3 linked regions of the Lepisosteus oculatus genome follow. The protein of the gene in region 1 interacts with the protein of each later gene in a biochemical or structural test. Links are inferred from orthologs where the notes say so. Each region holds a gene or a part of one and is shown in the gene's direction. Other genes may lie near its edges. The genes, in order: rab11fip3, ADP-ribosylation factor 4-like and arf6a.

Region 1 (7,561 bases):
ACAGTCCATAAATGCCAGAGGTTCATTGGAAAAATTGGACCTGCCGGTGTCTGTGTGCCGTGCTGTGGCCTGGTGTCCTGTCCGGGGTGTATCCTGGACCTGGTTCTTGCTGGGATAGAATCCAGTGTCCACCTGTGACCCTGTCCTGGATAGAACTGTTTAAAAATGGATGGGCAGTACTTGTGCTGTTAGTAATGAAACCAGGTCTTTGTCCTTTTTTTTCAGAAGTCCTGAACACTGGGTAGGCAAATTCAAATCAATAAATTATGTTCTAAGCATAATGATTAAAAACTGATTAGAGAAAGAAAGCGTAACTTGGGAATTTATCATTTTACATGAAGTAACCAACATTTCCCTTCGATGCGTGAAGAAGTAATTCTCGTTGGACTACATTGAACGGGTTTCGGTAAACCGATGCTTCCTGGAGCTTTTTGGAGTTTCTTTGTCCTGTTTTGAATGAAATACCAATAATCCCGTTTTCTCAAAGTGACGTCAGTGTTTTGCATATTCAAACACTGAAGCAGAGGCTGGTTGAAGACAGGAATTCATATTTATACGGCGTCATACTGCTTTTATATTGCGTTCGTGAAACGTCTCAGCAAACGTTTTTACAACAGAAATGTATCTTTCCGTTTTTTTCCGTGGTAGGGTCAAGATTATCTCTAGTAAGGTTTAGAGCTTTCACTGCGTCTATAAACGTATAATATAATACATCATATAATCACTAAGAGCTGCTTTTGGGAAGAGTACGTAAATTTAGTTCAATAAATAACTAAAAAATGCGATCATCTTTGTTCGTCTGAATCTCGTTGAATCTGTGGACCCAGTACCGCTGCCTGTGGAGAATCTCATTAGTACAGGGGAAAGGCTAACGGAAGTTTGCTCAGACCCCCGACCTGTGATCTCACAGGTTGCCGATATCAAAGATTTAGCTAGCAGATAAAGAGTTGTAGATACTTCTAGTTAAACCTTCTGGGAGTGTTAGCGACTCTTTGTCTGTACAGAATGGAAATGTTTCAGGTAAAGCAGACGCAGGTAAGGGCTACTTTTTAAACACTCATTTAAGTTGAAATAGAATTGCACAAAAACGTCCATGTGAGTGACTCGAATTCTTAATATTTGTTTTGGGACTTTTCCCTAGTTTTGTTGGGGGGTCAATATACTTGTAGTTTGCACCACGGAAATTAGCTTCCCCGTTTGTAGGCCGTATATATTTGCCACGATGTTTTAAAATAAAAAGAAGTCATTGCTGTAAAAGTACACAAGAGGTGCTTTTAAACGTGAGCGATGAAAATCTGAATGGGATGCTGTCTCCGGGGCAGGAGGGTCATGTTGAACTCTTTTTATAATGTTAATTTTTTGTTCTTGTCTTAAACTGGGTTTAGGGATTGCTTTTTACCTGAGCTAAGAAGTGATAAAGATGTCCCTAAAATATTCCTTTAATTTCGACGAGAAAAAAAAACTAGCTTTTGATGCTATTAATCCGTATGCGGACCCTGCTGTGTTAGGAATCTTGGGACCTGTGACTCTTGCGGTCATTCCTCCTCTATATATTGTAATTTAAGAGCCTTTACTGAACTGGTTCCATTCTTTACCCCTCTTCTCCTACTTTACTTAGTACCACCATCCACAGTCTCCTCTGTGTATTTATCTTGTGTATTCGTCTTATTTATTGTTGTTGTCATCCTGTAAAGCGCTTTGAGAAGCCACCTTTAAAGGCGCTATATAAAATAAAGTTTATTATTATTATTCATCGAAGTCAGGATTCACAAGAGTTCGTCCATATGGCTTTCGTGGTTGTCCTGTACTACCAACAAAAAAAAACCCGGAAGTATTTTCACAACCACAAGAGGGAGAAAGAGCAGGGAAACTCGGCGTTTGCACAGTGTGGGTTAGCTGGCCATAGTGCGTGCGAAACAGTAGATGTTAATTAAAACGCTCTTTCAGCTCACTGAAGCAATAGTGCGGTGTTGTAATTCCTATTGATCGATTGTATTTGATTATTTTTAAGTGGTGTAGCCAACATATTGCTTGAGCTTCGCCAGATTTGAAGGTGATTGTTTTATTCAGACGCAGGACCTGAAGAAATCAGCTGTCCGTGGACGTTATTTTTGTACATTTTAGTATGGTATGCTAAGAAACGTCCCTTTCGTAAGACCCCATGCCAGGAACCCCGAAAAAGCCATGGGAAATACATGACTCTGAAGGGCCAGTGAAGTCATCGTTTCGCCCAGAGGTACAACTGGACTTGCGAACACTCCCCGAGGCGACAGGAGATCTGATCCTTGCCGGGGCTGTGAAATCTCAACCCACTGTCCTGCATCCACGCACACTCGCGAACAAGGGTCGTTCGAAACTACTGTATGATGCATTTACACTGTTACCTGATATAAGTACTGTGCTAAAAAGTGTCGGATTTCTCTACCTGTGGTCTGGCAAGGGGATTTCAGAATGAAGGAAATATGTTTTTTTTTCCTTTTTTTTGTTTTAGTAGAAGCCGTGTGAGCGATAACCTGGAACCTGTACTACCACATAGGTCAGTGACGTCCCACTGGCTGACAGCGTAACACTTCTTTTCTGGTTTCTTTGAAACCTCAGCCTTAATGAGCTTGAAAACAAGGCGACAAACGCAATGCGAGGAGCTGCCAATCACTGATCGATCGGCGTGGACAATAACGTGAGTGATTACTGCCTCGCAGTGCGTGCTCAGTTTCGTACCCACGGTGGTTGCGGTTTTGTCAAACCTTTTAAGTAAGTTAAAGACAACTACCTAATCTGCCCAGCTTTGGGTATATCCTGGGCTGCGCTGCCCCATGCTTGCCACTGTGTCTATACCTCACTAGACACACATCCACGCACACCTTTCCTTTAAGAGATGGACTGTAGGGGCCGGGGCGCTTTTGAGTCGACAGACTGCGGCGTGCTCGCTGCGCCTGCGCGCTGTGGGGGCGGTGACGTCAGTGCTGTATGCGGCTGGCGATGGCGGAGCAGTTGCTGATGCGAGAGAGAGAGAGACGGACGGCAGTCCACGGAGCCATCAGTCACCGGCGGTACCTAATGGAAACACCTGCGTATCTGAACTGAGGAGCGCTTCGATGGCCTTGAAAGCGGGTCATTTTCAGGGGTGACCGAAGGACGGAGGTGAGGGCAGAAAAAGGGGGCTCCGCCAGCCCACGCAGGTGGATGAGCCTTGAGAAACGAGCCTGAGTGGAGAGGGGTGGGGGGGGGTTCACGCATTTCTTTTTCCCCCCCGCACGGAGAGGGGGATCCGGGGCTGGAAAACCTGGATCAGGCTGAAGGACGTGTACCAGCTCTCGCAGGAAACCAGCCGAGCTCGGTGGGGGGGGGGTGGGACGCGAGAAGGAGCCGGCTTTCCGTGAGAGTCGTCGCCGAGACGGGCGAGTGAGGGATGCTCTTTCACCGGGGAGACGCTAACGGAAAATCTTGTTTCACAGCCCCCCTACCGGCAGGCGCCTTCGGGGGAGGACAGACGCGGCGCGGCGCTGCGCTGCCCCGGCGGTCGCGTTTCGGGGAGCCGCTGAGGATCTGGTTGTGAAAGCCGAATGAAACGACGAGGCGAATCAGTTCAAAACGCGAGAAATAACTTGGGCTAACGCGAAGCGCCGAGCTCCGCTGGAGGGGAGGGGAGATTCGCCGTCCCGTCGGGTTACAGCGGTGCCTAGCAACTGCGAGGAACAGTTTTACAACATCCATCAAATATTTATACCCAACCCGACAGACACACACACACCGGCGGTGTTTCACGCTCTCTGTTCACCCCTATTTTTTTTCCTCTTGTTTTTTTTTTCCCCTGCTGCAGTTGTGAAGGTTTGGCCGAGTGAAAACGCCGAGGGGAAACGAGGGCCCGAGGAGGAGTATGAAACGAGCCGGGGGAAGAAAAGAGCCTTTTTTTGGGAAGGAGGCGAACGCGGGGCCTGGACGGAATTAACTTCACCTCGTCGGAAAACGCTTCTTCTTTTTTTTTTTCTTTCTCCCCCAAGAGCGGCCCGCAGACCATTTCAAAACGGAGATACAACCGACATTTTTCCAGCCCGGAATTTTTTTGGGGAGCAGGCAGAAACCTAACAGGTCCTACCGAGGAAAGACCCACAGCGCTTCGTGCTGGGGGGAAAAAATGAGTTGTTTCAGAGGAAAGTGGGTGAATGAAACCTAGCAATAAATATCCCCCGTCTGCCAAGAATGGCCGTGCTTGTGAAGGTTGCAGTTCAGGCAGCGGAGTGGACATAGGGACAGTGGCTGCAAGAGCTCAGCCCTGCAGGTGTTGGTGTTGGTACTAATGCCTTACTAACACGCCGGTCCGTGGATTTAAAAGTGTTTACTTACTGTATCTCTGAGATGCCTTTGGATCTGCTGAAGGGTGTGCTTGTGTTGAACAATAAGCCGCTGGCTTGCTTTTGGTCGTCCGCAAGGGAAACCTTTGCGAATTCTTTCCGGATTCTTGTTTTTGTTTTTTTCTGCCTTTGTTTCAGTTCTTAGGGCTGCTTGTCTTGCCTTTAGGATTTTCAGGTAGTGTTTAAAAAGCGCTTCAATGGAGCAAGTGCTGCTGTCTAGCCCGGCTGGGCGTTCCGACTGGGAGCTGGAGCAGAAACAGTCGCTGGGATTTCTCTTACTGGAGCCGGACAAGGGAGTTAGTTTGTCCAAGGGGAGCAAAGAGAGTCCGGAGCCGGGGTTGGATTACAGAGCAGGGGAGGAGAAACTGGTGTCCCTGAATCTGGATGAGATCCTTCAGGAGAATGCCTTAAATCTAGATGACCTTCTTAGGAGCTCAGGGTATCCTAGTGTGGACCAGATCTTGTCCTGGGAGAAAGGCCGTGACTGCACTGTACTGCAGTGGGAAAAAAATCCCAGGCAGGGCACGGATTTTAACCACAACCGGGCAGTGGAGCTGGTCAGCTTCCAGGGCAGCCCCGCCACGGATCACACTGGTTTCAGTGGCAGTCCTGCTTTAGCGGTGAGGGGAATCGGCGCTTTGAACTCCGAGCCGGATTTCTCTCCAGAGTCCAGCCCCTTTCAGCCCCGCCGGCTAGATCTGGTGGATGGCGGCAGGGAGCCGCCTCCGCTGTCGCAAGACGACGACGGCTCTGAGTCCTCGTCACCGGAGGACGCGCTGTTACCTGAAACCGAGGGCAGAAGTTCCTTCCAAGAGCCGGAGATGGATCTGCCCGCATTGAGTCACGAGCTGCCGGAGGGCTTACCTGAGGGCTGCGAGAGCCCCCCCTCGCAGTCAGGGTGCAGTGGATCACAGGGAAGTGCAGGCCTTTCAGGCCCTGATCACGAGAGCTGCCCCAGCCCTGTGGATCATGTTCTGCGGAGCGAAACTGTGAGCCCGAGTCTGCCTGCTGGGACCCCAGAGCAGGATGCCTCAGCGGAGACTTTAACTGCCTCTTCCTCCCGGGAAGACCCGGGGAACTGGGTGTTTCCACAGCCTGCACTACCCTCTCAGTCTTCAGAACCAGCTGGTCGCCCACCGTCGCCTGTATCTGGAGCTGTGTCGGACTCCGACGGCCCGGATAATGACCCGGCCTCGGATTGGAAGTCATCAAGGGATTTAGTGCCCGGCCAGCTGGGCTCGGGTCAGGGTTCAGGATCTTGTGGTCAAGAGCACAAAGATGTGGTTTCGGACCCATGTTTACCTGCCGTTGCAATGCAGGAGAAAGACATTTTGGAACCACAGCTCACCGAGGGAGTATTGTGCGGATCTCCAGTTTTGGCTCAGGGTGGGAAGAGTACAGAGTCGGAGGCGGACCTGGGTGCTCCCAAGGATATAATTGACCTCGAACAGAACGGTCTTCACGATCCCGCCGAGGAATCCCTTGTGTCCGGCCCCCTCTTGTTGCGGACTAGCAGTCAGCCCGCGGAAGAGTTTTCGGTATTGGACGTGGAGCTCTCTCCCTCCCTGCCTGCAGGGGGCAGCGTTTCTTACCGGGAGGACAGCCCGCGGGCGGAGGACGTGTCCCCTCTGAGAGCGGTGTTTGACGCTCTGGACCAGGATCGGGATGGCTTTGTGCGGATGGAGGAGTTTGTGCAGTTCGCCACAGTCTATGGTGCTGAGCAGGTAAGACGGTCTTTATTGATGCAGTTGTCCTGTGCTCCGACAACTTTCTCTCGCTCCGGGAATGAATCGTTGAGCTCTCAATATTGGCATTTCTCGGAGGTTGTTTTCCCGACCTAGTTTGGAAACTAGGCTTTGTAAGCCAAAAAAGAAACATTCAACAAAAAGGGAATCTGTGTTTCTCAGCATGCAATTGTATGCAGAGTCTCGGGGCAGGGTGTTTAATGGTGGAAGCAGCATGTCTGAAACCCCTTGAACTACAGGGAGGGGATTTATTGCTCTACTTCTAGTAATAAACCTTAGAAATGGCTTTTTGTGAAAGCAAGTTCAAAAGCTCAAGAGCTGTTTAAATGCACAGAGCCTGCCGAGGGTGATCAGAAGTTTGAAACAGTGGCTCGTGGTGGGGTATCTTAAGATGAGCCCCATGTGCAGGACAGCAGGAGCTCAGACTGTGAGATTGCTAAGGGCTGCTCTCTCCCTGTTTCCACGGGGCTGCTCCCCTGTACCCCCCAGTAAAATGACCCCGCGGTGCTGCGCAGACTAGGGGGGCCGGATGCCCTGATCTTGTTTGTCATCTTTCTTACGACACTGACAGGTTGCCCAGTCGGAGCTGACTGGACAGGTCTGTGTCAATGTGGCTCAGGCCTCACAGTGGGCTACTGGGCTACACACTAAAACTAATCACATGTGGTGTCCCAGGACAAACCAGATAATGTTTTGAAGTTGTATCTGCTTGGGTTTGCAATGAGTCATCATGCTCAATCAGTTCTACCAGTCCAATTGTACTGCCTTCAGTGCAGTCTGCTGAGGTCTTAACAGTACAAAGCCATATGTGCTATTGTCAAGCGCTTTGGTGCTTGCAAGCTCAGCTTAAAGGTTTTTAACTGTACAGTTTCCTTTCTGGAGCTGGGTTTTCTACATCCAGTAAACTGGAGACTGGGGTTCCCTGCCTACAGGTTTCGGCTTGGGCCATGTGCATCCTGCACTGGAATGACCGAGATCGTGCTATCAGATTTTTTTTTTTTAATGGGAGATGAGTTGTTCAAGTGGGGGTAGAGATGGATCTCTCTTGGTGCTCCTGCACAGTGGAACCATTTAAGACACTGGAGTGCAGGGAATCCTGTGTATGGTTTCAGATAAACTCCCTTTGTTCTGAAACAAGATTACGGTGTTCCGTAACAGGGTTGTCAAAGAGAAGTGAGGTAGCAAACGTCATTGACTTTACGTTTACCATACTTAAACCAATAAAGTCAGTTTGACTGCTGGGATGCTGTAGTGCAGTACTGTATGTCTGAGTTTCGAAGAGTCAGTTGTATTGAAGATACAAAGGCTGAATTTGTGGGGTATTAAACCCTTTCACACAAATCAATTTTCCTTTTTCACCTGGAACCTACACCTTTTTCTCCAAGAGGATCAAAAAAAGTAACGACCTCCCTTAATCTCGAAGCCTTGAGTTTCGTGCAGTTTGAGACATCCCACTATTTCTTT
Region 2 (6,956 bases), on another chromosome or scaffold:
TACCCAAGATAAAACACAATTACAAAATATAGAGGAGACCGTGGATGGTGGGACTAAGAAGAGCAGAGGGGTGAAGAATGGAACCAGTTAAGAAAAGGCTTTTCTGAAGCAGAGGGTTTTGAGTCTGGATTTGAAGGAGTTTAGAGAAGGTGACTCTCTGATATCCTTGGGGAGAGAGTTCCAGAGCTTGGGGGCATACCAGGAGAAGGCCCTGTCACCCATACAATGTAGACAGGCTTGGGGGACAGTAAGGAGAGCAGAATTAGAAGAGCGAAGGTTGCGAGGTGGAGAGTAGGGCGATAATAGTTCAGACAGGTACTGAGGTGCCAAGCCATGCAGAGCCTTAACCCCAAACATACTGCTAAAGCAACTGTGGAGTTTTTCAGGGCCAAAAAGTGGAACTTTCTTGGCCAGGTCAATCACCCGACTTGAATCCCACTGAGCATGCACTTCACTTACTGAAGACAAGACTGAAGCTAAAAAGCCGCCGAAATAAGCAGGACCTGAAAATGGCTGCATTACAGGCCTGGCAGAGCATCACCAGGGAAGATACCCAGCGTCTGGTGATGTCTATGGGTCGCAGACTTCAGGCAGTCATCAACTGCAAAGGATTTGCTACCAAGTACTAAACATGACTATTTTATTTAAGATTATGTTAATGTGTCCAATTACTATTGGTCCCCTGAAATGGGGGGACTATGTGTAAAAAGGGCTGTGTATATCGTTCACCCAATATAGACATAAATACCCTCGAATTAACCTTGACATTCTGCACTTTAACCTCATGGATATTGTTTTATTTCAAATCCAATGTGCTAGAATACAGAGCCAAAACAAATACACTGTCCAAATACTTACAGGCTGCACTGTATGCGCGTGCACACCTGCCACACTGTCAATCATTTAACACTCAGCGAGCTCCACTGTGCCTCACAGGAGAGATAGCAGTGTCAGGAGCAATGGTGCGTCTCTCACAGAAACCACCGCAGGCTCGCGAGCACCTGGTCGATTCTAAGGCTTGCTGTTGTGCAGCAGGCAGGGGAAATCAATTTCAGCAGTGCTCAGCTGATTTTGTGCTGCCTTTTGGGGAACCTATGAAATCTCATCTACGTTCGAACTTGTGACTCCTGGATTGCAATACTCAGCCTCCACTCTCTTCAAGCTTCTTTGCTGAATGAACTACTCACAAGAGCTAAAGAACATACCGTATGAAAGAGAACCAAAATTACCTTTCTCATCTCCTGTTGGATTTGTAGCTGGAAGTGCGCTTTGAGATCTTCAATCTCCTGCTGTAGTTCTCCCACGCGGGGGTCGGCTTTGCACTTCTCTCTCTCGGCCTCCTCGAGAGTTTTCCTCATTTCCTCCAGCTCCGTGGAAAGCACCCTAACCTGGGCTTCATAGTCTCCCACACGGTCGGCGGTTGTCATTTTCTCTACCAGAGCTTCTCTGGTCTCCTCCAGCTTAAGCTCTACATCTTGCCTGGCGGCCCGCTCCTCCTGCAGCAGCTTCTGGAGCTCACGGAGCATCAGCGCGTGGTCTCCTTGCTCCTGTGCCCGCTCGTGTTGCTGGGTGATGACCCGGGCTTTGGCCTCCGCGAGCTGCTCCTGCAGGCTTCTCACTTCCGCTTCATGATGACTCCTCTCCTCCTCCAGGCTTTTGCACAGATCCTCAAGGTCCTGCTTCACCTTCTTCTTGTCCGCCTGGAAGGAGGCCTCCATCCTTGACTTCTCCTGCGTCACAGTGGCCAAGGAGCTGGTCAGGGTGGACAGCTGGGCTTTCAGCTGCAGGACTCTCCTGTCAGCCTCCCCAGCCACCTGCTGCTCCCCACTGCTGGAGCTGACGCCACTCTCCGAGCCATTATTGTCTTCAGCCCTTTGCAAAGCGGACACAGCCGGCCCGTGCTCACCAAGGCTCTTTTCTTCTTCGGTCGCCTCTCCCTTGGTGCTGCTGCTGGCCACGCTGTTAGCGGTGTCCACACTGGCCGCTGTGTCCGCGCTGTCTTCGCTGTGCAACGAACACTTGTCGTCTCCAAGGTCCGAAGAACGCCGCTCCAGGCCAGAGGCCCCAGAAGGCGTTGCATTCGAATAGCTCAAGTCAGCTTCCTGGGATACAGTCAGAACTTTCAAGCTTGCCTCCAAAGCTTCCTTTTCCTTCAGAAGGCTTTTGTAAGCCCTGACAACGTCTTTAAAACGGGTCTGGTACTGAACCAGCTGTTTTTTCAGACTTTCTATAGTTTCCAGCAGCTCCTTCTTACTGGGGCCACCCCCAAAATTCATTCCAAACTTCTCCATGTTTGCTGGTTTCAGCTAAACAATCATACACGTCATGTCCCGAGGCACTATGAAATAAAAAGAAAAATGAATCAGACAAAAACTTAACATGAAATTTGAAATCCCCGTAACAATTAAGTAAAAAAATAAACGTGAAACAAATACACGCACAAAGACGGTGGGGATGATCATTTCGCATATGCAATAAAACACAGCAAACCACCGTATAAAACCGAGCATTTGTCATTCAATTCTCGCAACAAAGGAGAACTAGATATGCATAGAAACGAGTTCAGATGTCGTTCTTTCACTTCAAACTGTAATGTGCTAACCAAGAGAATCTCCGATTTAAAAACTGAAGGAAAAAGCAGTGCACTGAAAAAAAACTGAAGGAAAAAGCATTCTGAGTGGCTAAAAAGACCAGTTCTACTCAAAATAAGAGTTAATAAAATTATGCAAGCAAACCTCTACTCAAGAATATCTAATTTAAGATGTAATTCTCAGCTTTAGTTTCCATCTTTCAGCAACGGCTGCCATAAAGTTAATAATTCCATTATGAATAAATAATAAAAAATAAAAACAAAGTGCAATGTTGTGATATCTGGAATTTTCCTGGAGGCCTAACAAAGCTGACAGTCACATGGAGAAATGTCTCGAATACAGAACATCTACTAACTCTACATTTCGTATTTTGAACTAATGAAAAAGCTGCAAACGTACTTGTTTTTTTCTCTCTGTCCTCGATTAGTCGTTTAAGCTTGCTATCTTGTACACAGCTTACGTGTCCGTAACTCGTACTTCCTGGAAAGGGTCCTTTTAGTAACGGCTGAGTTTTCATGTATATTGGATTTGTTAAGCAATAAAGTTTTTACAACAAATTTATGGGGGCCATCTTAGTAAGGTCGGAAATAATTAGTCTGTGAAAAATTGAAGCATTCAGAGAAGAGTTTTATTATTTTGTATGCTTGTCTCTTTACTTTATATTTGTTTCAGAATAAACAAACAAAATTACGACGTATCGTAAAATAATTGTTGCTCCCCACCGGGTTGATCTCCTGGCTGTTTTTTTTTAACTAACAACCTGAGATATCTAGACAATAGACGAGATAAATGTATGTTCAAATTGAATTAGCAGAACAAACGAAAAACGCGGGGTCTTATTTTAAAGATCTTATTATAATGCAGCGATCATTAGTTGTAAATACCTTTTACAGGGTGTTGATATTGTAACGCATACGGCGGACCCTGCAGGTTGTTCGAGGTACAATATTAACGAAAATATTAAAATATAGTGTCCTGCCCGGGGCATGCTCCTGTATGTGCCTTATGCTTCTCGGACAGGACACCGGGTTATTCTGGCCATTGCCAGGAATAAGCGGCTTTGTGTTCATGGACGGATAAAATGTGACATGTCATTTCCATTTTAGCAGATTACGTCTGTACTTGCAAAGGTAATGCATGTGTGTTATGCTGCATACATCTACCAAACATTCCAAAATAAAGCATACATTTTTCTGAGCGTTGCTCACAGAATCGTTTGGGGGCAGATTGGGTTTATTACAGCAGTTTTGGAAATGAGACACCCTATGATTGCTAATAAAGTTTCATGAAAGCGGTGACGTAATTTCTTCCGCGTTGGCCTGGACGTGGCACCTGCATCAGAGGAGGAGGCAGTAGAGAGACTCCCATTTTCTATAGGGGCTGTTTAAACGATTTCTGTTTCTAACTGTAGACATCACTCGAAGTGTTAAAGGGGGGGTACTCTCGCACAACATGGGCCTCACTATCTCGTCGCTTTTCTCCAAGCTTTTTGGCAAGAAACAAATGAGGATACTTATGGGTAAGCATTGACAATACGGAGGCAGAGGGAGGGTATTGTTAGAGCTGCCCCAGAGACGAGGAGGAAAAGATGGGGCCTCTGTGGTTACATTCTGTACAGAGCGACAAAGGGGACGGCACGATTTGTTAATAACAGTACCGAATAAGTCACGATAACACTACGAGAGGTATTTAATTCTATTGCTGCTCATTGAGGTTGAAAGAGTGGAGATAACAATAGTGATGGATATCGAAATGCCTATTCCTTTTCTCCATTTCGTTTAGCAAGGTTTTTTGTGAAATAATGCAGTTAGGAAATGCCTTTCCTGCATTATGCAAGAAATCCGGTGTCCGTGCGTTTTAAATGTAGTTACTGCACGTTTTAGAAAATGGTAACGTTTTGTTTTTAGGAAGTTACCTATACTGGAACTGGTTATGGACTGTTAGGAATTATAACTCGAAGGCGAAAACATAAACATTATTTTCTTCCATTTCTTGTTTATTCTGAATATGAGTCCTCTATTTAGGCCTTCAGTGTTGTGTCCGTCTTTTTTTAGGATGTAAAAGGAACACTTAGTGATGCAACATTGGCAAAGATACTGTATAGCACCAAAGTGAGCTATCCATGGTCTTGTCATACCGTCGCCAGTTATAAATCTGAGATTATTATTTAGAATTATTTAGTATTTAGAATTTTCATTATATGTAATATTGTATGTTGCTGTGTGATTAAAACATCATATAAGTAGGCAGAACATTTTTTTTCTTTTGTAGGTAAAAGTGTTGAGTGTCATCGCACTGTAGTACAAACTCACCTTGAGGAAAAGCTAGTGCTCCAAATATGGAGGAGTGGTACACAATTCAGAACAATTCAGAACAATAGCCATAAGCATGGATTTGCCTTTTAAGTAAATAAGTGTACCCAAACCACGCTAGGAAAATGTTCCCTACATATTACGGAACCCCCAGCACCCTTCATCGTTGAAACTAAGTCTTTTGGGCTTTAGGTGCACTCAAGCATTTGTCAGGAACATGGTGAAAGATGTTTAATCTGACTGAATCACATTTCTCTACTGCTCAGTATTCCATTGCTTGTGCACTTTGCACCACTGGGCTCTAAAACATGTACTGCCCAATGTGATGAGTGCTTTGTGCACTTCAGACCAACAGTGGTATCCCACTCTGCGGAGTTCTCTGCGGATTGTTTCGGATCAAACTGGCAGCTTGTGCCGCAGGCTGAAATATGCAGTTGCTCGCTTGTCTTGCCCTGCTCTTCGAATTAATGCACGGCTGTCATGACCCTGGCGTGTGCACTTGTGTCCACTGTTCACCATTGGTGATGACATCTTGCTGTCATTGCACACTGATGCTGTTGCTCGTGAAATCTCAGCAGGATGGGCTGTCTTGATCACTGAGGCTCCAGTCAAACAAGAACAAACAACTGGAACCTCAACTGTCACTCCTACTTCAAAGTTTAAATTGAATGTTTTCATTTTTGTGCAAAAACGTGCACTACTTTTCACGGCTCTTCCATTTCACCTGTGTTTACTTCATGTCTTTCTTACCAATACCAAACTAGATGAAACAATGTCTCTTCTGAATGTTTTTCTCTGCTTTAAGAATGCACAGCATCAGACATTTTAAACTGTTGCAAACCTCAACAAGTACTGTAAATGCTAATGAAAAAGTTAAAAGTTAAAAAATAAATGTCAGAATGTGTCGTGTTAAATGTATTGTAGTTTAACCCCTACTTTGCATTTTTTATATCAAAGTTTTGGTGCCTTTTGTTGGATCTTTCAGGTTCCTTTAAGTGGTTATGCCTAGACAGTCAGAAATACTTCACTAATGATCTGTAGAACTGTACAACAGAATAAAAGGCTTCCTTAGAAAGAACTTCAGCAGGATAGAGCATGTCCATCCACCAATATGGGAATTAAGCAACATGAGCTAAAAAAAATGAAGAAAATGGAAATACGTGGGATTTAAGTGTCCAGTCAAAAATCATTTGAGTTCATAGTTCAATCTAATGCTTTTTGTTTGACCAGTTTGTAAAATAGATTTCTGTTTTTGGGGTTGCTTTTCTCTTGAGGTGCTATTCAGTAGCTTAAGATAAAGTACACCAAGAGTTGGTGAGGGGGGCCGTGATGGCAGCTTTTGATTATCTTCCTATAATGGTGTAGAAATGAAGTTAAGTAAGAGTTTTTCACCTTGAAGCGGTATGGAAATTAACTGGTTCCGTCTGCAACTTCATGGCAAGGATAATACTGTATTTCTGACTCCAAAACACGTTGCATCAGATTCTGAAGATTCCCTATTGTGTTTATTTGCCAGTGTGCAAATACGTAGTGTTGACACTCATGGCCTGATGTCCACCTGCTGCAGCAATACTCAACTTCAACTCATCTCCCTTTTTTAATGCAATAATCTCAGTATGGTAAGAATTTAAGAAATGTTACCAATGAAAGGAGGCCATTTGACCCATCTAACGACGTTTGTAGTTTGTAGCTAATTGCTCCATAGATGGGTGACAGTGTTCAGCATTACTGCCTCGCAGGACTGGGGTCCTGGGCTCAGTTCAAGACCTGGGTTGCTATCTGTGTGGAGTTTGTATGTTCTCCCCATATTCACGTAGGTTTTTGCTGGGTACTCCAGTTTCCTCCCACAGTTCAAAGACACGCTGGAAGGTTAACGGATGTGTGAGAAAATGAGCCAGATGAAAATTGTGGAAAAAAATCATTCTCAAATCAAGGCGGGATCCAGTCGTTTCTGCTGAAGGGTTCATCTCCCAACATTTTGTGTGTTTTGTGACGCTGGCCAAGATGTACTTAAAATTTTGGTGTTCATCTGTTCACAATAAAAAAAGGATCA
Region 3 (8,019 bases), on another chromosome or scaffold:
GAGGCCTGCTCTGCAGCCTGGAGCTGGAGTACCAGCACACCCTGCGAAACATTGAGCAACAGCGGACACAGTATCGCAGGGCGCTGGGCAGACTGAATGCAGCCTGCACCTCTGGCTCTGTGAGGAACCCTGCAGTTCGCCCAGACAAGAGGCCCCGTCCCATCCTCCCAGCCCTCGAGGCAGCTCCAACGGCTTGTGAGAGAGCCGGGAGAAAGGAAACGCAGACAGAGAGGGCCAAGGCTGTAGCTGAGCCAGTGCAGCAGGGCTCCAGGTTGGCAGGAGACAGGCAAAGGATGCACCAGGGGCAGGCGAGCCAAGAGGAGCAGACAGATAAAATGGAGGTGGCCTGGGGGAAGACTTTAAGATCACGCGGCCTCAGCCAGCCTGGGTGGGCCACCCTCTCCTTCGAGGACATCAGACGAAGGCACAGGGTGATGATCCAGACACAGGATCCTTTCCGGAAGTGGAGGCATTTCCTGCTGTCAGCAGCCGGGTCCCAAGCCCATGGACACCTGCCATGTGCGCCGTGCCAGAGCCTCATGGGAACTCTGCCCAGGGCTGCACCTGGGCCCAGACCAGAGCATGCTGGGAACCTCAGATATCCCTGGAAACACTCCACAGCACACGGAGCATTGCAGGCTGGGATCTCTGGGTCAGACCTATGAGCAGAAAACCGCTTGGTCAGGGGACATCAGCTTCTCATGGGTGTGATCTCTTGGAAGATTCAAGCCCGGTAATTAGTTCCAAGTCAAAAGCTGTCCGCTAACACTTATTTCTGTGTGTGTTCACCCCATTTTATTATCTGGCTTTCATTATAATAATAATAATTGCTTACACTTATATAGCGCTTTTCTGGACACTCCACTCAAAGCGCTTTACAGGTAATGGGGACTCCCCTCCACCACCACCAATGTGCAGCCCCACCTGGATGCCATAGTGCGCCAGAACACTCACCACACATCAGCTATCAGTGGGGAGGAGAGCAGAGTAATGTAGCCAGTTCATAGAGGGGGATTATGAGGAAGCCATGATTGGTAAGGGCCAATGGGAAATTTGGCCAGGACGCTGGGGTTACACCCCTACTTTTTTCGAGAAACGCCCTGGGATTTTTAATGACCACAGAGAGTCAGGACCTCGGTTTTACGTCTCATCTGAAGGACGGCACCTGTTTTACAGTATAGTGTCCCCGTCACTATACTGGGGCATTAGGACCCACATGGACCACAGGGTGAGTGCCCCCTGCTGGCCCCACTAACACCTCTTCCAGCAGCAACCTTAGTTTTTCCCAGGAGGTCTCCCCTCCAGGTACTGACCAGGCTCACACCTGCTTAGGTTCAGTGGGTTGCCAGTTGTGAGTTGCAGGGTGATATGGCTGCTGGCATATCATTGACAGTCATTATCTTATATTGTTAATTGATGTGTGGTTTAAATCTAATTCTTGAAAGGTGATGGCAGTAATCCCAAACACAAGGGGGCTTACCTCTTACAGAATGGTTCCGATATATAGAAACTGTAATTGATGTGCTTAGCCTGATTACAGATATTTGCTCAGATATTTAAGCAATAAATGGCAGTTTAGGAAAACTACGTTTTGTTTTTGTGTGATTATTCATTCTTAGTAAAAAAATCCTTTATTTAGTATTCACAGTATTTCACTACTGCACAGACAGAGCGTCCGAAACTAGGTAGGTTGATGGGTCTTTCGGATTTTCCAAGGTCTCTTATCTTGTGAAATGAACAATTCCTTGCGATGTCCACTTTACTCCACAAGGGGGCGCTATATCTCCGAAATGTATGCCAGACGCATCACAGTCCAATTGCCCAGAGAAGTTACACACGTCACTTGGCAAAAATGGCACATTTATGTCAGGTCTGGAAAGCTTCATTGAATGATTTTGAGAATAAAGAACCACTTCTTTAGACGACATTGTTTCAACGTACTTAATGCCATATCAGATTTAAAAGTGGTGGACAACTGTGCAGTCTTTGCAAGAGGCAAAACGATTGATTGTCTTGTGTGAGGGAAACAAAGGCCTTCTGTGGGCAGTTTGAGAAAAAAAACGAAACCAGGCTGCAAACAGATTGAGGAGAGCCGCGTGACCCCAGTGGTTTGACTACTGCAGGGGTCCAGGGCTCGATCCTTATGTTCTGGCTCGGGTGCTTCTCTATTCTGCTCCCTGAACTGGTCCTGGAAAAGCACGTGCACACACAGAGACCGAATACAATATAATGAAGTCCATCGAAAACACAAAAACACCTGTGGCCTAAATAAGAAATTTCCATGGCACTGTATTTGTCTTTCAAATTTGGTGACATTAAACAGAAATATGTTTCAATTCTCCTTTACTTTCAGTGTTTTCTGTTGCCCGAGTGTGAGATGCATGGCAGGCCTTGTGTTTGTTTTTAAAAATAATTATCTCAGTGGAAAGAAAGTCTAAGAAAGTGGAAAGAAAGACTAGTCTAGCTAAACGTCAGAGTGACTGCCTGAGTCATGCTGGCCTGCAGCACGGATTGGAAACTGTGAGTGGAAGTGATTGGATTCTGGAAATTAAGCAGCAAGCTGGAAAGGCATCAGGATTGACAGCTAGCGCCAATGTTCCTCAGGAACAGAGGACGGGGCACTTCCTGGCAAACAGCGCTCTGTCCACCTTTGGTACGTTCAAGGGACAATCCACTGCTGAAGACCAATGGAAACACAAAACAAGAGAGAAGAGCCTGGTGAGAAATGTTCTGGATATTCTGTACATTGAAGTAGTTCGAGTAGGGGGCTGTGTCAGCATGCGTAGGCTGCAAAGGAACAGGTAACGGGTTTATTCCCTGCTGGAAAGAGAAGAAAAACACAACGTTTCGGCTGTGGAGCCTTCTTCGGGTGTGAGAAAGACAGGGTAGACGGCAAAGATTAAAAAGCACAGGAGAACACAGGCTGGAAAAGTGGAGGAGGAGGGAGAGGGGAGAGGCAGAGAGGCCACTCAGGAGGTGCAAAGTGGAGAGGGGTGGAGAATGGTGTGAATAGAGAAGATAACACGAAAATAAGTGTATGAGCAGAAAACGGTGCAATTTAATACCTGACACTCCTTCAGATAACCAAAATCAGCGGTTCGTGGGGTATCATCACAGCCCTTTATTTTATTCACCGCCTGGAGTAAACAGAAATACCAGCCAGAGGACGCAGGTGGAAACTAGGTAACAGTGTCTTTAAAACCCCAAAACAGGAGGTGTTTCTTTACCAAGCCACACTGGTGAAGCCAATACCTTGACTCCTTTCACGAAAACAGCTGGACGAGATCCTGGGATCAATTAACGATCAACTACCAAATGAGCAAAATGGACCGATTGTGGTTTGCAATCCATTCTCAAGCTCAAACCATAATTCAGTCCATCAGATCCATGATTCTGCAGTTAGAAACTTGCCTTTGCGTGGTATTGTGCTCTGATGACATTTCTGTCCCATTCCTGCTTTGTGTTTGGAGTCAGCAGCTTATTTCGCACCTAGACATCCGTGTCAGGATGTGACAGGTTTCCTGCAACATCGCACACGCGTAAAAGAATGACCGCGCACAGGGACGAGCCTCCGCAGCTCATGAAAGACCTGAAGCGCACAATAGCGCACGTCAGCCACATTTTCACTGTCTAACGCTGGAAAGCTGTAAAGACTCGCCCTCGTCATACCCAGCACTGCTTGCATTGATCTCCACAATCGTTTATGTTATGTCGCGATATTTTACACGAGTGCTGTCGTTTAGCGTGAAACGGAAGAGGTTCAGATTGCGCCCAGCGAAACAAAAGGTGTCTGAATGTGAAGACGAGGGTGTGGCGGCCGGTTAATAGGAAATAAGCGCTGTGTGGTAAAGGCGTTTCAACTCATTGATGGTCTGTGGAAACGCCTCAGTACTGCGAAGCTCTTCGGTCTCCTCATTTCCTCATAAATTAAAGCCATTTTTTAATAAAAAACGTAGCCGGTGTCTGTCCTCTACATAAACTTAAGACACATTTGAAACGCTTGTTTTTTTATGAAACGTAAACAGTTGGTGCTTTATATTTATATGTTCAAGAAACTATGGAACGTATAGAAGCCCTTAATTCGCTAAATATTACTATTACCTTAGGGCCATTTCAGACTTCCTGTTAAGTTATACATACTGTATATACACTGTATTACGTTATTCTAAAACGTAATACTGCTTGTCTTCACTCCTTTTTATGGAAACTTTAAGAACCATTTATTGCTGAGCACAGTTGTTCCGGGGTTTGGCGTTTGTAGACTCAAACATGAAAACATTACATTTTGAAAAGGACGCTTGAAACACGGTGAAGTATTTTTCCCCCCTACACTCTGTAGTTGTGTGTCATGGTATACGTTCAATTCGGTAGATCTATCCGCAGTTTTAATTCACCCACCACCCAAGCAAAATAAAGCGAAGTCGTGAATGTAGACATTTGTAAATGCAGGTCTTAGAAACTACTATTGCAACGAGTGCGCGGAAAATGGGCTGGTAACAGAACAGAGCTGGGGCTTTCTTAAAAAGGCTGCTTAGGTGGAGTTGGCCCTAAAATAATCAAGGTAAGGATTATAGCTTTAGCGGTGCAGTATTGCGACACAGGCATACGTGTAATTAATAGCTCTCACTTTTATCAGGATGAAGACAGGAAGGGGTTATTTTAGACAAGCCCCCCTTTCGGTAGCTAAAAGTGTTTCCAGAGCCAAGTTAAAATAACATACAAACCCCCCCTCCGAAGCGCGATTCAAACACCGGGCGGAAGAGACTTCACCTCCCTTCCACGCTCTCGCACGAACTATTTTTACACGGGGGGTGATAATATAGCGAGGGGGCGGTGTCCCTGTCAGCACGCACGGGCAGCGCCCTCCCTCGAGAGTAGCCGAGCCCCCTGTCAGTTAAGCGTGCAGCTCGTGGCCTGTCTGCGGCATTATTTGAAATCCCTCACAGTACCCACTGAGTGACGCCTACGTCATAACGCACCACCTCTTTCTTTTTTCACATTTGAGCGCTGGCTGTCGACTCACACCCTCGTCCACCGAGCGCCTCTCCTTTACTGCCGCCAAAGGCAATAACCCCCTTCGTTGCGTTTTTTCATTCAAGAGAATCGTTGCACATGAAAGATCCGGTTGGGGGGTGACACATCCCGAAACTGCGCTGGCGGGCGGCCGCCATCTTGGCTCCCGCTGCCGTGCGCCGCAATGAGGGACGCCGAGCACGCGTTTGGAGCCCCAATGGCGTCAGTTTCCTGAGCCTCTGAGCCCCGTCAAAGGCGGTGCGTGGTAACTACTCTGCGCATGCCAATGGGCGGAAATGGGGAAAAAAAAGTGCCTGAAAGTAAGCGAGCGAGAGGAAGTGGCGGGTGATCGGGTCCGCACCTTTTCCGGTAGCCGAGAGCCGCTCGGAGCTGAGAGAGAGAGAGGCGAGAGCGGGGTGGATCAATCCGGGGATCGGGGGGCCGCAGAGCAGGTAACAAAAAAGACGCCAGACACCGGCGGGACCGGCTGAGAGAACCGCGTCTCAGAAATGCCGGCGCCGCTTTTGTTCAGCATTGAGCGGAAAACGTAACCACGCTAGCGGCGGCTGCGCTTAAAGTTGTGTTTTTTTTCCCCTCCCCTGACACCCCTCCCTTTTCTCAACCGCTCTTGTGTTACAGGGAGAAGAGAAGAGGAAGCTCTCGAATGAATCAATGACCTTTGGAGTCGCCTCGGCTCAGGCTCTTCCGTCTCCGACAGAAGTGTGGCGGACCCGGGCGGACCAGGCTGAAGCGCGGAGCCGGTGAAATTGCGAGCTGCCCACCCGGTTCAGAAAGGAGGGGAGGCGGCGGCGGCGGAGGAGAAGGAGGAGGAGGAGGAGGGGAGAGAGAGAGAAACGGGCGAGCGGAGACCTCGACACGGGCACGCCAGGAGGAAGTCTGTGAACTAGCTCCCGCAGGCTTCTGCGAAGGCCTGCTCGGGCAGCCGCGCCGATCCTCAGCCAGCTCACTTCTGGAAGTTGAGAGAGGGGCCGGGAGAGCAACACCCACCCCCCCCAGCCGGACCCGTCTGTGTTGTAGGCCCTCGCCTTAGAGAGGAAGAAGGCAAGCCGAGGGACTGGAGAACCGCATTACACGGACCCGTAAGTGGATCCCGGTGTGCTCTTGATGTGGACTTGAAATAACCGGCCTCCCCACACCCTCTTTGTCAACCTCTTTCCGGCACCTGGATTCCTCGCCACTCCCGGTGTCTTTTAACTGTGACCTCGGCCTCCCTTTTGGCGTCCCGGCTCGGTTCAAGGCAAAACCTTTTACTGACTGAAAGGGATATCTGACAGCCCGGGAGGAGGGGGGACGGACCGACCGACGGGACAGCTTTGTTGTTATGGATTCTTTTCGGATGTTGTCTAGAAGTTGCACAGCCGGCTTTTAGTGTTGGGGGAGCAGTAATCTCGCACGGACGGATTGCCGCTTTGCAGAGACACCGTCTGCGTCTACAGCCCAGCGATTGAATGGTTTCTAACTTCAGCCTGTCCTGATGTACTGTCCTTTGCTCCCCACCGGATATTGACCAGTGCGTGACCAGTTGGCTGCTTGGGCTGAAAGTCGGGAACTGTTCGGTAAAAAGAAATACAAAATCAGAACATCTTATTTATTAGGTCTCAAGTGCACAACGGGGGTCCAGGTGACTTATTGAATTTCTCAGAGGAACTGGATATTTATGCGCTGTTTACACGATGGGGAAGATGCTATCCAAGATATTTGGCAACAAGGAGATGAGAATATTGATGCTTGGACTTGACGCCGCGGGGAAGACCACCATACTTTACAAACTGAAACTGGGGCAGTCCGTCACCACCATCCCCACCGTAGGCTTTAACGTGGAAACCGTGACCTACAAGAACGTGAAATTCAACGTGTGGGACGTCGGGGGACAGGACAAGATTCGCCCCCTGTGGAGGCACTACTACACGGGCACGCAGGGGTTAATCTTCGTGGTGGACTGTGCGGACAGAGACCGCATAGACGAGGCCAGGCAAGAGCTCCACCGCATCATTAATGACCGGGAGATGAGGGACGCCATTATCTTGATTTTTGCCAATAAGCAAGACCTGCCTGATGCCATGAAGCCGCATGAGATCCAGGAGAAACTGGGCTTAACCCGCATCCGAGATAGGAATTGGTATGTGCAGCCGTCCTGCGCGACTACAGGTGACGGACTGTACGAGGGGCTGACTTGGCTAACTTCTAATTACAAATCTTAATGGTCGAATGATGACTGGTTAGAACAAGCAAAAAAAATAAAATAATACAAAATTTACACGAGAAGAAGCAATTAACAAATAACATGGCTTCTCGGAAGAATATAATAAAAAAGTTTGATTATAATTCATTTTCTTTTGATTATTATATGACCCCCGTATAACTAATCATTTTTTTTCTTAAAGTAATTATTTGGCTGGCTTTAATTTTGCTTTTGCGCTGTCCTTGGATCACGTTCTTTATTGATTACCGTGACTCAAGAAATACTCCCGTGAGAGACTTTTTAAAAGAAAAAGCAGACTACATGAATTGCCTCAAGCTCTTGAATTTTCTTAGTTTTATTGTATTATTTCCTTTGGCGGGGCGGGGATTTTTTTTTTCTGTTTTACTTCTCATTTTTGCCTCTCTGAACCTGCTTGATGTAGACTTTGCTTCTTTTACATTCATACCGAACATGTGTGCGATGTTCAGGCCTGAAGTTTCTAATAGTAAATATATATAAAAATTGTTTGAAAAAAAAAACAATACGGCGTGTCTCTAAATTTTATACTGTTTCTTTGAGAAGGAATTAAGCCCAGAGCTTACAGATTTAAGATTGCCGAGAGAGCCACCAGGTGTTTAGCAGCACCGTTCTGTTACAACTATGTGAAGTATTACTGTAGGTATAGATGCTGAACGAGGTACAAGTATACTACAGCAAAGTGCTCAAAACACTTCTATATATATGTATTCCTTTGTAAATGAGCGTCCCAAGCATTGGTGACCTGCAATGCTGTTTTGAAGGAC

The links.
Region 2: the proteins of rab11fip3 (region 1) and ADP-ribosylation factor 4-like form a complex in vitro, tested with the Homo sapiens proteins (2 studies listed by BioGRID). The link is inferred for Lepisosteus oculatus from reciprocal best matches to the Homo sapiens genes RAB11FIP3 and ARF5.
Region 3: the proteins of rab11fip3 (region 1) and arf6a form a complex in vitro, tested with the Homo sapiens proteins (2 studies listed by BioGRID). The link is inferred for Lepisosteus oculatus from reciprocal best matches to the Homo sapiens genes RAB11FIP3 and ARF6.

Annotation. Positions count from the first base shown.
Region 1 is NC_090714.1:6,565,591-6,573,151, reverse strand, and holds the start of rab11fip3 (rab11 family-interacting protein 3), read left to right. Parts: upstream 1-4,549; coding exon 4,550-6,076; intron 6,077-7,561. UniProt on the Homo sapiens protein: Downstream effector molecule for Rab11 GTPase which is involved in endocytic trafficking, cytokinesis and intracellular ciliogenesis by participating in membrane delivery. Recruited by Rab11 to endosomes where it links Rab11 to dynein motor complex.
Region 2 is NC_090702.1:13,128,465-13,135,420, forward strand, and holds the start of ADP-ribosylation factor 4-like, read left to right. Parts: upstream 1-3,902; 5' UTR 3,903-4,043; coding exon 4,044-4,110; intron 4,111-6,956. Other genes in the region: gcc1 (GRIP and coiled-coil domain-containing protein 1), read right to left, coding at 1,230-2,291.
Region 3 is NC_090703.1:10,289,749-10,297,767, reverse strand, and holds the start of arf6a (ADP-ribosylation factor 6a), read left to right. Parts: upstream 1-5,019; 5' UTR 5,020-5,465; intron 5,466-5,652; 5' UTR 5,653-6,707; coding exon 6,708-7,235; 3' UTR 7,236-8,019. UniProt on the Homo sapiens protein: GTP-binding protein involved in protein trafficking that regulates endocytic recycling and cytoskeleton remodeling. GTP-bound form plays an important role in the transport of multiple palmitoylated proteins form the Golgi to the plasma membrane.